2 linked regions of the Canis lupus familiaris genome follow. The protein of the gene in region 2 purifies or fractionates together with the protein of the main gene of each other region. This does not show direct contact. Links are inferred from orthologs where the notes say so. Each region holds a gene or a part of one and is shown on either strand. Other genes may lie near its edges.

Region 1 (7,840 bases), on a different chromosome or scaffold from region 2:
TCTTGATACTTAGTGACTTTTTCCCAATTTGCCCCTGGCCCGCCGCCAGTACCGCAGCTGGTGCTGGGGAGAGAAGCCCCCCCCCCCCCACCAGCTGACGCTGCAGCTTCGGGGAGACGGGCCGAGGAGGCCGGGCCTCCACCCAGGAGGTGGAGGGAGGTTCTCTAAAGGGAGGGTGTCCGTGCCTGCCCCTCTGGTAAGACTCGGAGCCAGGCAGGGCCGCAAGCACAGAGAAGTCAGGGAAGCCCGGCCGGCCTGGTCTGCGGCTGGCGGGGGCCCGAGGGCAGCCAGGTTCTCAAGGCCCGGCTCCTTCCGCCCTTGCCTCCCCAGTTCTACACGAAAACCAACTGACCCACACAGACTTGAAGCCAGAGAACATCTTGTTTGTGAATTCGGAGTTTGAAACCCTCTACAATGAGCACAAGGTACGGGTCGGGAGAGGCAAGACCTGCTCTGGGGTGGGTCACCCGCTGGTCAGACTCCTGACCCGACTCCCTTGCCTCAGAGCTGCGAGGAGAAGTCGGTGAAGAACACCAGCATCCGAGTGGCTGACTTCGGCAGTGCTACCTTTGACCACGAGCACCACACGACCATCGTGGCCACCCGTCACTATCGCCCACCTGAGGTGATTCTTGGTGAGTGACCGTGTGGCCCCAACTCTGACCACGCGGAGGCTTGTTGGGAGGGTTAGGACTGGAGACAGGGAGGTGCCCGCCACCAGCGGCCTGTGTCCCTGTGGGCGCTGACTGGACCTCACCGGGAAAGGGTCTTCTCTGGGTTTGGGCAAGAGTCCTGCCAGCCGGAGGGCAGCTGACCTGTGACCGGAGTCTCCTGTTCTCTCCCCACGCTGGCTTTCAGAGCTGGGCTGGGCACAGCCCTGTGACGTCTGGAGCATCGGCTGCATTCTCTTTGAGTACTACCGGGGCTTCACGCTCTTTCAGGTGAGGCCCCCCCCCCTGGTGCAGCACGTGGGCCCTGCTTGGGCAGGCTGCAGGGGCTGGGTTGGGCAGCCCCGCGACCACCCACCCATCGGCACAGGTGGGATGCCCGGGCTCCTGAGGTCGGCGTAGTGGAGCGCTTGGCCTCCAGATGGAGGACGGGGCGGGGGGGCACAGCCTGTGTGAGGGTGCAGAGAAGGGCAGGGCACGTTCCGGGAGGAGTGAGCAAGGGAACTGGAGACAGGTGCTCGCTGATGGACGGGTCTGAGAGGCCCTGGGGCACGAACTTGACCCTGAGAGAAGGGGCTGGCGGCTGCCACCGGGTCAGAGGCCAGGACTACTGCTCACTGATGGGTTCCCATCTCGGGGGGCAAGAAGACACTTGCCCATCTTTTTTTTTTTTTTTTTTGGTCCGTCCCTTACCTCCTGTGAGGGGCTGAGGCTCGCACTGAGCCTTGCTTGCTCTATTCCCGAAACCCCAACAGACCCATGAAAACCGTGAACACTTGGTGATGATGGAGAAGATCCTAGGGCCCATCCCGTCACACATGATCCACCGCACCAGGTAAGGCCCTGGTGGCAGCCTCCGGGCTGGCCGTAGGCCACTGGCCAGTCTTCCTGGGACGTCGTGGCTCCCCCAGACTCCTAGCAGCCTTCCCTCCCGAGCACCACACTGCGTGACCTGGGAAACCACCCGCGCACACATTCCCGCCCTGCTCGGTCAGGCCAGCTAGGATCCTGCACCTCGCTTCGCGGCCACTCCCGACTGCCACTGTCTTCTGCGACCTCCACCCATGACTTGTCGCCCTGCCACATCAACCCCTTCTTTTCTTTCACTTTCAGGAAACAGAAGTATTTCTACAAAGGGGGCCTGGTTTGGGATGAGAACAGCTCTGATGGCCGGTATGTGAAGGAGAACTGCAAACCTCTGAAGGTCAGTTCCTGGCTTCCCCCAGCTCAACTCCTGCCGAGGAGACCCCAGGCCCTGGGCAGACACAGCAGAGACAGGCCGGGCAGCTAAAGGCTGCCGGGGGCTGGCCGAGGGGCCCCTCCCCACAGGGTGGCTCTGGATGTAATTGGGGAACCACCAGAAGAGCCAGATGTCAGAGACCTGCTGCCTCCTGCCCTCTCTCCTCTCAGTTTTGGGAAGAACTAGGCGGGGCTGAGGGGGAGGGAGGACCTAGACATGGCCCGGAAGCCTCTATCAACGGCATTCGGTGCTCGGACCTGTGAATTCTGCAGAGGTGATCTCTACCCACCTGTCAGGACTTTGCATGCGGGGGCAGAGGCACCGCGCCAAACGCTCTACACAGGCGTGAAAAGAAAGGAGCCGCTTGCTGTCAGGAGGGCATAGTCGTCCTCCAGGGAGGCGGCACTGCCGCCTCAACCCGTGCAGCAAGGCTTCCCACGAGCCTGCCGTCACACTGAGGCGCCTTGTGTCCCTGAGCAGAGTTACATGCTCCAGGACTCCTTGGAGCACGTGCAGCTGTTTGACCTGATGAGGAGGATGTTAGAATTTGACCCTGCCCAGCGCATCACACTGGCGGAGGCCCTGCTGCACCCCTTCTTTGCTGGCCTGACCCCTGAGGAGCGGTCCTTCCACACCAGCCGCAACCCGAGCAGATGACAGGCGTAGGCCACCGCAGGAGCCGGAGAGTGGGACGGGGCCACCCGGCCTTTTCTCCAACCCCCACCACCGGGCCCCGGGGCCAGAGCCACCCAACGAACAGTGCAATGTGAAGGAAGGCAGGAGCCTGCAGGGGACGAGACTTGACGCCCGCCCAGCTGCCAGAAAGCACAGATTTGCCCCAAGCTATTTATATGTTGTAAAGTTATAATAAAGTGTTTCTTACTGTTTGTAACCCCTGGTACCAGTGTGTCCGTCTCCAGGCTCCTTGCCATCCCCACTCCCGGCCTTCTTAATAAAGTCTTTCTTAGCAGTTCAGCTTGTGGAGAGCTAAGTAAGTGTGAACTGGGCTGCCCAGAGGAGCGGGGTGCCCCCCCGCCCACGCCCCAGGCCCTGGGGAAGTGCCCTGAGGTGCTGGGCCCGCTGGGGCCTGGCTGGGCAGTAGCCAGTCTCCCCTCCTCCTGGCCCCGTCGCCAGCCGGCACTTCAGGGCGTATCTGCCCAAGAGCCGTGGCTGACTGAAGGCTGGCGGACGGGGCCTGACCAGCTGGGCTCCTGGGCCCAGGCGGCAGCTCCAGGCCACAGCCTGCACAGCAATTTACCAGAGCCCAGGCCTCCGTCATTCAGCTTTATTTTAAGTGCTGGTTTTTGGTTCCCCAAGAGCTGCAGGAGTGGTAGTCCTGACCACCTGGCTGGGGACTGGGGGACAGGACGGGACGCCTCTGAAAAAAGCTGAAGGCAGAGGAACCATGCTGATCTTTAAGACCACCAGGAAAGGCCCAGGCTGGGGGCAGGAGGAGGCTCCAGAGCCTCCCACAGGGAGAAGACAGGCCCAGGAACAAGCTCCCCGTGGCCCCTGACCAGGCCCTCGCTCCCAGGGCTGCTGCAACTTACCCACTGCAGCGCAGAGTCCGCTGGGCCAGGCTCCTCAGGCTCCTCTTCCGCTGTACCCAGCGCGGGGAGGCTTACCAACAGGCAGGCACCCACAGTCTACTGGCTGCTTACTGAAAATGCCCGTAACCCAGCACTGCTCCTCAGACTGTGGCCCTGCCTCTACAGAGAGGGCTCCATCTTGGAGCTTCTTGGCCCTGAGAGTGAGCAGAGGTTCAGGGAGGATACACACAAAGCTCACAGTCTCTGGCTGCCTCCCACTGCTGGAGACAATTAACATTTGAGGAAGAATGGGAGGAAAAGAGGGACCAGCCCTCTGCCCTGCCTCATCTGCTCCTGGCTATGCTCCTATGAGAAGTGGGAAGTAGCCTGCGACAATCCATGGTACCAGGGCCTACCCTGTGTCCATATTCCTTGGCGAGCCCTCCCACTCACCCCCTTAACCAGAGTGAGTGGGCAGAAAGCAGAAGCCTGAAGCCCTGAAAACGGCTTTAGAGCATGAGCTTTTTGCAAGGGCCCCTGGCAGGTACTCTAGGGTATGGCTCGTGTTCTGAAACCAGCCTCCAAGGCCTAATCATGTGAGGTCCAAGGGCTTTCCTGCCTTAGGATCTGAGCAGCAATGTGTTCCTATGGCTGAGACCCACCAGCTAGCTCATCTAGAACTAGCCTCATTTTGGCATCTTTGAGAGGGCGCTGGCCCCAAGCCTACTCATCTAGAGTGGACAATCAAAAAGGGTTCAGAGCCTAGATGGGAGGGACTTGTGTCCTGCTCTGGGACAATAGCTGCAGAGGACCATTTCAGGGGAAAATGGGGGCAGAAGAAAGGGGGGGCATATGTGCAGGCAAGGAGGTAGGGGCAAGGTAGTGGTGGCCTAAGACACAGAAGCACCAGGGAGCCTCTTCTGGCTCAGCACCAGGCTCCCCCAGGGACCTCCCCAATACTGAACATTAAAGCTGCACCCTGAGGGCTCTGGCCCCAGCTAGAGAGGGTATGGGGCTGGGGGGCACTGCTGGCAAGATGGGCACTGTGGTTCTACAGTAACATAACCTCATACTACGTATGCAGAAAACAGAAAAACAGTATAAAATCCCAATACAGTAAAACCATCCTGATGCCACCCCCTTTCCTGCCTCTCAGCGTGATGGAGTGGAAAGGAAGAAAGACCCTTGAAAAAAATCCCAGCATAAAACTTGCATCAGCTCAGGAGAAAGGGTCAAAAGCCTCCAAATCAGCCCCTAAATCAACTTGCGACAGGACTCTGGGAAGGCCGCCTCCAAGCCCTCGCCAGGAACGGAGTGCGAGTCTGCCCTCTAGCGGGGCAGCTGCAGCACAGCCAGTTTGACATGATCAGAAGGGGGTGGGGGGGTGCAGAAGCAGGGGACACGGAGCCAAAGCAAGTACAGGGCCCCAAACAGGACCCGCCCCACCCCTCAAGGTGCTTGCTCAGGCCCCAGTGACTGTAAACCTGAAACACAGTCCGTGAGTGAGCTGCCTAAGTCTGTAAACAAAGCCCCATCCAGCCACGCAGGGGGCCAAGGGTCGAGATGCCTAGAACCACTCAGCCTGCTGCCCACCCAGCACACCCACACACCTGCCCTGGCTACAGGCAGGTGACAGGTCATTTTTAAATATGATCTGTTCTCTCACAGAAGTAACAAATCCAAAAGCGAAAAAATTTAACAAGGTCCATGAAGCTTCACATCCTTAAGGCGTTCGTTGTCAAGTTCAGTGTGTCCGGAGCAGCAGGGGACCGCAGGGTCTAATTTGCCCAGAGCCCCTCTAGGCCGAGTGCAATGGAATGACAAACTTGCAGCCAAAGGGGGAGTGGTAGCTGATGCCCACCTCCTGGAATACCTGCTGGGGGAGGCCGATGTCGCACAAGTAGATGCGGCCTGCACGCTCCCCCAGTGGCAGAGGCAGGCCCAGGGCCAGTGACCACTTGGCGTCGATGCCCTGTTCGCCTTCATGCACAGGAGGGTCTATGCTGAGCACTGGCGCCCGGTTCCGGTTGGCCCAGGCCACAGCTGCCTTGTACCAGGGCTGGTCCCGCAGGAAGGCATTTTCGGGGCAGTCCAGGCAGTTGATCACTAGATCCACAGGGCTAGTGGGCAGATCTGCGGGAGAAAAGAGCACTATATGGGAATCGCTATAAGCAGAGAGCAGCCCAGGTGGGGACTGGAACCCAGATGGCCCCAAGGGTGTCTTGTCCTGACACCACTCCAAGGACTTGCCACAGGCTGGCTTTCTCAAGGCTGGGCCAGGCCTCTGGACCTCTGCGGCCCGGTTGGCCTAGGCACCAGAGACTGAGGGCATGTCAGCCCAGTGGACCATTGTCCTCACGGAGTCCCCAGGCTGAAGTAGCATCCTGCTGGCCATGCAGGCCATCTCCAGGAACAGCAGATGCACATCCAACTAACTCCCTGGTACACTATGAGCTCTGAGAATGGGGCGCTGACTGCCAAATCAGCCCTCACAGGGAGCCCTGCCCAGAGCCCAGAAGAAATGGGCTGACTGTCATTTGCTGGCTGGCCCAAGAACTGGAAGCAGGCCAGAACGCACCTATTTACTCTACCTCGAGCTAGCCGCCTCACCGGACAGGAGCCAGCCCGGCTTTGCTGCACCCCGCCCCACCTCATGAAAATGGGCTCTCCTTGCAGCCCACTCTGAGGGATAGGGAAGGAATCGACCACTTCTCCAGGCATTTAAAAAAGTTTCTCTGATCAAACCACGCCTCTCAGGCGGCATAAGAACAGATGTCTCAACAACTATGTAAGTCTTGACCAGCTTAAGAGGGTAATTGGAGAAGAGGAGAAATCAGACCAACTCAAGATCAGCATCTTCAGACTTGGCTCCTGGAATTGAAATAGGAAGGCTTTTGGGTAGCCAGAGGATGAACTGCCTATAACACGGTATCGTGTTACAGATCTCAAGCTACGGAACCCACGCCAGACCCCCTTCCTGGCTAAAGTAATGAGATTTCTTAATTAGGGACTCATGGCTTCCTTACTTAGAGTACCATGAAGAAGGGGGCAGGGATGTCCCTGGGGGCCAGGAGGCTTTCAACAGTAAGAGAGGGTCTTACCTTCCACGTGCACACAGGAGGCTGGCTGGAAGGAGACAGAAGTTATGGCCCAGGGTCTGGCCTCAACCTGCCATCTGAACCCCAGCAAGGGCCTTCTTCATTATTTCTTCTCTCTTCTCCTCCTGCCCTGCTCTCACTAAAACCCATTCCAATCACTTTGTTGTCCCTACCCTCCCTTCCCCGCCGGCCCTTGAAACTGCTCTGGTCCAGATTATCAGGGGCTTCCACACAGTTAGATCCAGTGGTCGATTCCCAGACTTCACCTAAGCCTAACCTAGAGCGGCTTGCTGGCAGAGCCGACCGCACCCTCTTCACTTGCCTTCAGGTATCCGGCTCTCCTGCTTTTCCTTCTCCCTCACTGACCACTTCCTTCCCCATCTCCTGAGTTGCTCTCTCAACTCCCTGACTTCTAAACAAAGAACTGAGTCTCACAACTTCCCTACCCAGGGATCCCTGGGTGGCGCAGCGGTTTGGCGCCTGCCTTTGGCCCAGGGCGCGATCCTGGAGACCCGGGATCGAATCCCACGTCGGGCTCCCGGTGCATGGAGCCTGCTTCTCCCTCTGCCTGTGTCTCTGTGCCTCTCTCTCTCTCTGTGACTATCATAAATAAATAAAAATTAAAAAAAAAAAAAAAAAAAAAAAAAAAAAAACAACTTCCCTACCCCTTCCTAGGAGATAGCCTACCCAGGCTCACTAGGGCTCATTCCTGCCTACACACCCGGTACTCCAGACCAGACCCCTTCACGTACCTGTGGACTTCTCTGTATCAGGCAACAGTTATACCTGCTTATCCAACAGGTACCTCCGACTTTCTGCTCCTCCTCCCACAAATCTTCCCATTTCAGGATGGCACTTCCATCCTTCTGGTGACTCAGGCCAAACACCTTGGAGTGTCATATAATCCTCCCGTGTCATATACCTTACAACGAGGCTGCAGCCTCTAGCTCCAAAACTTAGAAACTAACCCTGCTTCACCTCTTCTACCACTACCACTGTCTCAGTCCCCAGCATCTCCTCCCAGTTTATCACAATAGCCTCTCAACACTTCTCTTTGTAAACCTCTAGTCTCTTCTCAAACAGCAACCCATGATCACTGGGACCTGAGCTGGATTCTATCTTCCTTCTACTTATTCCTCCAGTGACCCACCATCTCAGCCACGGTAAAGTTCAAACCCTTAACATTGACCTGCAGGCCCTATACAACTTGACCCTCAACGCCTAAGTTAGCTACTCCCTACCCAACCCTCCAACCCTTTCTAGCTCCCTCCCCTACTTTTCTCCATAACACCACCATCTGGCCTA
Region 2 (8,395 bases):
ACTGAATGACTCCACTTAAAAGAGGTTATCTAGAATAGTGAGATTCAGACACAGAAAGTAGAATGGTGGCTGCCAGGGGCTCAGAGGGAAGGAGATTGGGAGCTATTGTTTAATGGGTATGGAGTTTCAGTTCTGCAACATGAAAAAGTCCTCAAGATTGGTTGCAAATCAATGTGAATATACTTAATACTATATACACTTAAAAATCGTTAAGATGATAAATTCTAAGTGATGTGTATTTTATCATAATAATAATAATCATAATAATCATAGGGGATCCCTGGGTGGCTCAGCAGTTTAGCTCCTGCCTTCGGCCCAGGGCATAATCCTGGAGTCCCAGGATCGAGTCCCGGGTTGGGCTCCCTACATGGAGCCTGCTTCTCCCTCTGCCTGTGTCTCTGCCTGCCTCTCTCTCTCGTGAATAAATAAAATCTTTAAAAATAATAATAATAATGATAAAAAATAGATGGATCCTTTTCATTGATGAGCCAACCACTTTCCACAGCAGCTCTGGCATGATTATTAACACCAATAAACCAGGCCTTTTTTGGTGAGCAATAAAAGGATGATCCCCTGGTATCATTCTGCTTGACAAAATTGACACCAAACTTTCCAAACTTTTGGAAAATTCCAAACTTTTCTCTGATTTATAAATTAAAACCCACAGAAGTTATTCACTTCTTGTCTAACTTGGGGAGATACTCTTCTTCATTTCTAACAATAAGCACTATGCAGATAAGGGCATTACACACAGTGTCAAGCAGTGGCTAGAAACCCTTAAATGTGGGAAAGGGGCATGCATCTCTCAGCACCACCAACACCAAGTGCATCATTTCCACGGGGCATTTTCCTCTTTAAGGCTCTGTGATGATTTTCACCCACGTCACTCTTCTAGACTCAGTACAAATATAGGAAACATGGCTGGGAATTCCCAATGAAGTTTACTATTTTCACTTGAAACAAGATCAGTCTAAAGGCATCATGCTCAGAATCACACAAAGGTTTGAGAATGAGGATTTAGTCTCTGCAAATTTCTTCAACAGAGGCAAATAAGGGGGGGGAGTGAGAGCACTGCTTGGCCTACACACAGGGATTCCATCTGATATACAGCAGGTACAGAGGTGGAAAGAAGGGTGCTCTGCAGACCAACATAAGCAAGGGTATGCTGTACCCTATCCTTCCTACACTTTCAAGAGTCCCATCCAGCCACTTCCATTCTCTAGGTGAAAGGCAGCCTGACTGGGACAGGGGACTGAGTCTGGGAACTAAGGGGGTAACCTATCTCACCAGAGATAGGTCATTCCTGCACTGTCAATGTTCCAAGCAGGGTCTGAACAGAATGCACTTCTCACCTCCTAAGCACACAGTAAATATTTCAAGCCATAGCCAAATGACATAAAAATGGAGGACCATGGAAGAAATGCTTGCCCTTACTGAAGGTCATGCAAAATGATTTCACAGAGCCCCTCTAGCCCTAGAATTCAAATCACTAGTATTCTTAAAAGCATTAAGAAATCTGTTATTTAAAAAAAAAAAAAAAAAAGAGGAGGACCTGCCTGGCTCAGTCAGTAGAGCAATCTCAGGGTCATGAGTTCAAGCCTCACGTGGGTTAGAGGTTACTTAAAAAAATAAAGGGAGGGGGGAGAGAATGTACACACAATCCCATGCTCCCTCAGGCCAACTTCATGATGTGATGACACCATCTGACCTACATCATCAGGAAACAAAGCACATGAATTATTATGCCACTAAGACCTCCCCTAAAACAAGTCTGATTTGAAGAACTGCTCATTTTTAAAAACACCCAGGTTAGCGTTAAGTACTTGGATCAAGGGGATCCCTGGGTGGCGCAGCGGTTTGGCGCCTGCCTTTGGCCCAGGGCGTGATCCTGGAGACCTGGGATCGAGTCCCACGTTGGGCTCCCGGTGCATGGAGCCTGCTTCTCCCTCTGCCTGTGTCTCTGCCTCTCTCTCTCTCTCTGTGTGACTATCATAAATAAATAAAAATTAAAAAAAAAAAAAAAAAGTACTTGGATCAAGCCTCATACATTGTCTGCCTTCCTACTCCCCGTCTTGGGCACAATCAATAGATCAGCTCTGTCCTGCTTGCAAAGGAGTCTAAAGCTAGGCAAAACACAGCCCAGGAAAGATCAATTGTCTTATCTATGCATCTATAGGTACTAGCCCAGCTCTGGTATGTCATGCTAATCTTTTCAATCACTTCTTCCAATGTGACGGTGTTAATAACTCTACCTTCCACCTCTCTTCACACTACTCCTATGACAAACTACTATCATGGGAATGCTTGATGGATGTAGACAGGTGTGCAATTTGTTCCACTAAAAAGATAACACAAAAAATTATAGTACCCAAATTTCAGATTCCAGATGCAATTTCAAAATGATATCCTACTTCTTTCCATTCCACATCTAATTAATATAAAATCTGACATCTCTAGCAAAACTAATTTGCAAAAGAAAAATGTTAGAAGCATGCTTCTGCCTGAAGCAGTTAAGTTTGGGGAAAAATAGTTTAACTTCTCCCTGAGGGTCTACAAAGATTTCTGCTATTGACTCAAATCAAGGACACTTGTTTCTAATCCATCACAGTAGGAAAGTTAGGTTCACAACTTCATGTTAATGATAAATATGACCTCAGGCCACTGCTTAGGTGGTTATTTCACTTAGAAAAGCAATAGGATAATATACCTGAGAAGAGTCCAGAGTTATCTATCGGGCCAGGAAACAGATTGTGTTCACCCACATTGTACATATCCCAGCTGTCGAAACCCACATACTTCTTCCACTGCTTGAACCACCGGCTGTCAATAAGATACCTAGACAGAGATAAAAATTTACTATGCCAGAAAAACTGAGATTCTGAGTTTCTGCAGTTGCTCCTTTAAATTTTTTATGGTCTTTCCACCTGGAGAACACACAATTCCCATTTAAAAACACACTCTCGGGATCCCTGGGTGGCGCAGTGGTTTGGCGCCTGCCTTTGGCCCAGGGCGCGATCCTGGAGACCCGGGATCGAATCCCACATCAGGCTCCCGGTGCATGGAGCCTGCTTCTCCCTCTGCCTGTGTCTCTGCCTCTCTCTCTCTCTCTCTCTCTGTGACTATCATAAATAAATTTAAAAAAAAAAAAATTTTTTTTAAATAAATAAAAAATAAAAAAAATAAAAACACTCTCAGGCAGCCCAAGTGGCTCAGCGGTTTATACTGCCTTCAGGCCAGGGTGTGATCCTGGAAACCTGGGATCGAGTCACGTCAGACTTCCTGCATGGAACCTGCCTCTCTCTCTGTCTCATGAATAAATAAAGTCTTTAAAAAAAAAAAAAAAAAAAGAAAGAAAGAAAAAGAAAAGAATGAGAGGTGCTCGGGTGGCTCAGTTGCTTAAGCATCCAATTATTGGTCTCAAATCAAGTCCTGATCTCAGAGTTGTGAGTTCAAGCCCTACACAGCACTCTACAACTGGGTATGGAATCTACTTAAAAAAAAAAAAAAAAAAAAAAAAGAATAAATAAATAAATGAATAAATAAATGAAAGGAAATTATTGGATTCAAGCTTATTTATTTATTTATTTATTTATTTATTTTTGGATTCAAGCTTATTTAAATGAAGTCCTCCTATGAGTAAATTCCTGTTCACTAATGAGTAATTCAGTAATTTCAAATGATCTTTTTTTTTTTTTCAAATGATCTTTATAGAAGTTCTTGTCTAGGACAGACAAGTTAACTTTTAAAAGTATCACTATGAAAAAATTTTTAAAAAGTATCACTATGATGTTTTACAATTAAGAGAGGAGGAGTAAATCTTTGTGGGGGGGGGGAAGCACAACAATCATATTGGTGAATCCTTCAAGGTTTTTTGTTTTTTTTTTTTTAAAGATTTTGTCTATCTATTCATTTAAGAGAGAGCACTTGAGAGTTCACAAGCAGGGGGAGGGGAAGAGGGAGAGGCAGACCCCCTGCTGAACAGGGAGCCTGATGCAGGGATAATCCCAGGACCCCAGGATCATGACCCAAGGTGAAGCAAGGCGCTTAAAACTGATTGAGCCACTCAGGTATCCCAAAGTCCTTTAGGTTTTATAAAAAACAAACCTGAATGATCAGGTAGCTTCCCAAAAGCCACAAGGATCTATATATACACCCAAATCTTTAAAATGCTCCTTTCCTGGACACCTAGGTGGCTCAGTGATTGAGCATCTGCCTTTGGTTCAGGGCATGATCCTGGGATCTGGAATCGAGTCCTACATCAGGCTCCCTGTGTGGGCGGAGCCTGCTTCTCTGCCTGTGTCTCTGCCTCGCTCTAAGAAATAAATAAAATCTTTTTTAAAAAATGCTCTTTTCCCTCCAAAACCCCCCTCCCACTTTTTTTTTTTTTTTTTTTAAGATTTCATTTATTCGTGAGAGACAGAGAAAGAGAGGCAAAGACACTGGCAGAGGGAGAAGCAGGCTCCCTGCACGGAGCCTGATGTGGGACTCCATCCCGTGTCTACAGGATCTCACCCTGAGCCGAAGGCAGATGCTCAACCGCTGAAACACCCAGGTGTTCCTCCCTCTAAACCCCTTGAACAATACTCTCCAAACACTTTTAGTGTGACCTTAGACTATCTGAAACATCCTCTCTCTGATCTTGCCACATATTCTTCATCTATCACTCCGAAGCAGGATAACTTCTGCTTGCCCTGCTGTACAGCCCTATCTGAATTCCTCCTAATCCAAATGTTTCCCTTTCCTGCTCAATTACCTTAAGTAGCATAAACACCACCTAATTTCTTAAAGATTCGATGTTCAATCATATTCGATGCAAATCTAAGCCTTAGCTTTCTACTCCCACACAATAATACCACCCAGGAATCTCTTCACTAGTGGAAGAACTGTCCTTTCTACTAATTTATTAAGAAGCCTACTGTCTCAGATTTGCTCTTCTAAACCATGGACTTTTCACCTTCTTATCTAGGCTCTAAGTTATCCTCCTCCCCCACACTGAAACGCTGCTGCCACAATTATTTTTGACACTTGCTACCAAAGTAACCCGGAGCTTTCAAACATTTGTTCAACTTCTAACCTTGACATCTGTTCGAGAATTTACAAGTTACAAAAGTATCTACTTCTGATGTTCTTCTCAACCCATAACGTGGGGATGCCAAATACTGTTACCCTGGCTTTAATAGTAAGGTACCGAGGTCTGGGAGGTGTGGTCGCCTTCCCTCAAGGTCACACAGAGAGTCCTCGAAGGTAAGGGGCTCTTCCCATCCTGAAGGTCCCCGTGAGCACGCCCCTTCCCCCACCCTGTAGCCCCTACCCCCCACCGGGTCCGCCCTCTGGGGCTCCGAAAGGGCAAGGATAACCCTCACACTTTCCCTGAGGTGCTTCTACGGGTCCTCTTCTGAGAGACAAGGTTCAGGACACCCTCTCAGGGTCACTAACACCGCCCCCACCCGGCCCCTATCCAAGCCGGGAAAGAGAGGTCTGGCCTAAGGACCAGAGCCCCTGCCTCTGGGTCTGGGCGGCGGAAAGGCTGGCCCGGTGCTCACCACTGCGCCCCTCGTTGGAGCGTGGTCCTCATCAAGGCCCCGAGCTCGGATTTCTGGGTCTCCGCATCAGGCCGCTCACGGTACCCTCCACCTTCCGCCATCTCGTCAGCCGCCCCGGCCCAGCCGGCCCGGACATCCGCCTCGCGCACGGCGTGCTGTGGGCCACGCCCACGCACGCACGCACGCACGCATGCGCGCGCGTACCCAAGCCCCACCTAGCGCCGCGGCCTCGAATGTCCGCTCGCCTGTTTCTGCCTTTTCTCCCTATCACGTGCGGCCCTTCCCCACCCGTGCGGGGCGGAGCCGGGAGGGGGCCGGAGGAGGAGGTGGGTACTGGCAAACGTGCGGGCCCTTTCTGCCGCCCTGGGGGCCGCGAGGTGGGCTGACTTGCATCCCTTCGTCGAGCCCGGCGATCTCTAGGCACCTGACCGTAGTCCCCTTGACCCCTCAGGCACCCCGTCCAGGCCCACGGTGTTAGCCTGCTTTCTAGATCAACCCAGGGCCAGTTGCGAGAAGCCCTGGAACTAGCTTTTCTTGCTTTGAGCTGGAGATCTTAGGCCAGTCCTTAGCCTTCCAAACGGGGGATCCGGGTGCCGGTCCTGGAAGCCCTGCAGGGATATTGGAGAGTGCAGGTATACCTGCGCCTTGGGACCGGGACTCGACGGTCTAATCTAGTCATTAACACTCCTTTCAAACAGTCTAGACGCAAGAATCATGGCCCACGACCGAATAACCCAAGCCCTCCACACAGCTAGCTGCTTGCCTTGTCAGGGAAACAAGCAGCCGCTGAGTGGCGATAGCAGCGAGGTTAGAAGGAGAGATCTGGGTGTGTTCTCCACATTAGGTGCCCAAGTTGCTGCTTAATTTGTTGCTACAGGGACGCCTGGGTGGTCCAGTGGTTTGGCACCTGCCTTTGGCCCAGGGCGTGATCCTGGAGTCTGAGGATCGAGTCCCTCAACGGGCTCCCTGCATGGAGCCTGCTTCTCCCTCTGCCTGTGTCTCTGCTTCTCTGTCTCTCATGAATAAATAATTAAAATCTTTAAAAGTAATGATAATAATAATTTGTTGCTGCAACAAGATTCAGTATCCTGAACACTATGTGTCTTCCACTCAGCCCTGCATACAAAAAGCACAGCTCGCCTCATGGAGTGGGAAGTAAGCCCAGAGCAGGGAGACCGGGCAGCTGGCCTTGATGAGTCACCATTCATTTTCTAGCAGTTCCTGCCCCAAAAAATGTCACAGTGCCTGATTTCAAACTAATGGAGAAGAGATCTTCCGTAAATAACCCCAGCATCAAGCACTGTATGGTATAGGTAAGTGCCATGAAAGGGTATGAACCAAAGACTGTAGACCCCTAGAGTTGTGAAAGGGCAAGTTTGACTTGGTAGCATTTGAGTGTGGTTTTATTTTTATTTAAGATTTTATTTATTCATGAGACACACAGAGAGAGACAGAACAGGCTCCACACAGGGAGACTGATGCAGGACTCTATCCCAGGCCCTGCTGGATCACAACCTGAGCACCCAGGTGCCCCCTTGAGTGTGGCTTTAAGAAGCATAGAAATTGGAGGTGCATGTTACAAGGAGGGAAACTACAGGAGTCAATTTCTGGAACAAGTAGGGCAGAACCAAAGATTAAGGATTAGAAATTAAACTGGGCACAGAGTAGTGGAAAGAACCTTTTATCTAAAGCTAAAACAGAGGCCAGAAAGGCCATATATTCTGCTTTAAATGGCTCACAGAGGGATGCCGGGGTGGGTCAGTGATTGAGCATCTGCCTTTGGCTCCGGTTGTGATCCCAGGGTCCTGGGATTGAGTCCCACATCAGGCTCACCCACAGAGAAGCCTGCTTTTCCCTCTGCCTGTGTCTCTGCCTCTCTCTGTCTCTCATGAATAAATAAGTAAAATCTTTAAAAAATAAAAATAAATAAATGCCCCCCAGATATTGTAAAAGGTTTTGGATCAGAGACAAACTAGCTGAAGCTGAGAAGAGACCTATTAGGAACCTTTAACTAGAGAGATGGCAATGAGGAAGGAGAAACAGATGAGCCATGTTCAGTGTTGGGGATGGAGGAGGGATCACTGGCTAGGTGAAGGTGTGGTAGGTCATTTGAGCAGATTTACTATTTTTATCCTGGGTTTTGGCTAATTGAAATTAGCATGAATCGAATACACGCTACCTGGGATCCCTGGGTGGCACGGTGGTTTGGCGCCTGCCTTTGGCCCAAGGCGTGATCCTGGAGACCCGGGATCGAATCCCACGTCGGGCTCCCGGTGCAATAAGCCTGCTCCTCCCTCTGCCTATGTCTCTGCCTCTCTCTCTCTCTCTCTCTGTGTGACTATCATAAATAAAAATTAAAAAAAAAAAAAAAAAGAATACACGCTACCTGGGACACCCCTCAGGTACCCTCTGGTAACACAGGCCTCTTGGGAGTTGGGTAGCTAGGAGAAGAAAAGTAAATTTGGAAATAAAACTGTCTTGAGTAACTGAATAACTTCATAGCAGTTAATCCTCCGCAGATAAGAATTACCACCACGTGATAATTCTGCATCTGGGGAGCCGACCTTTACAACCTGAGTGCCCTTCTGTGAAAGTTATTTGAAAATGTTAAAAATGGGGCAACCCTGGTGGCGCAGCGGTTTAGCGCCACCTGCAACCCAGGGCGTGATCTGGAGACCCTGGATCGAGTCCCATGTCAGGCTCTCTGCATGGAGCCTGCTTCTCCCTCTGTGTCTCTACCTCTCTCTCTCTCTCTCTGCATCTCTATGAATAAATAAATAAAATCTTTAAAAAACATTTAAAAAAAAGAAAATGTTAAAAATGTTGTTAAATGAGAAACACCACCTTTAGCC

The links. The genes of interacting proteins can lie anywhere in the genome.
Region 1: the proteins of USP4 (region 2) and EDC3 purify together in Homo sapiens (co-immunoprecipitation; 3 studies listed by BioGRID and IntAct, with this or other methods). This does not show direct contact. The link is inferred for Canis lupus familiaris from reciprocal best matches to the Homo sapiens genes USP4 and EDC3.

The regions. Positions count from the first base shown.
Region 1 is NC_049251.1:38,155,948-38,163,787, forward strand, and holds the end of EDC3 (enhancer of mRNA-decapping protein 3), read right to left. Parts: intron 5,589-7,840; coding exon 5,236-5,588; 3' UTR 2,566-5,235; coding exon of another isoform or gene 2,389-2,565; 3' UTR 2,367-2,388; coding exon of another isoform or gene 2,205-2,366; 3' UTR 1,873-2,204; coding exon of another isoform or gene 1,782-1,872; 3' UTR 1,504-1,781; coding exon of another isoform or gene 1,424-1,503; 3' UTR 942-1,423; coding exon of another isoform or gene 859-941; 3' UTR 636-858; coding exon of another isoform or gene 506-635; 3' UTR 426-505; downstream 1-425. Other genes in the region: dual specificity protein kinase CLK3, read left to right, coding at 331-425, 506-635, 859-941, 1,424-1,503, 1,782-1,872, 2,389-2,565. UniProt on the Homo sapiens protein: Binds single-stranded RNA. Involved in the process of mRNA degradation and in the positive regulation of mRNA decapping. May play a role in spermiogenesis and oogenesis.
Region 2 is NC_049241.1:40,304,256-40,312,650, reverse strand, and holds the start of USP4 (ubiquitin carboxyl-terminal hydrolase 4), read right to left. Parts: upstream 5,702-8,395; 5' UTR 5,645-5,701; coding exon 5,544-5,644; intron 2,836-5,543; coding exon 2,708-2,835; intron 1-2,707.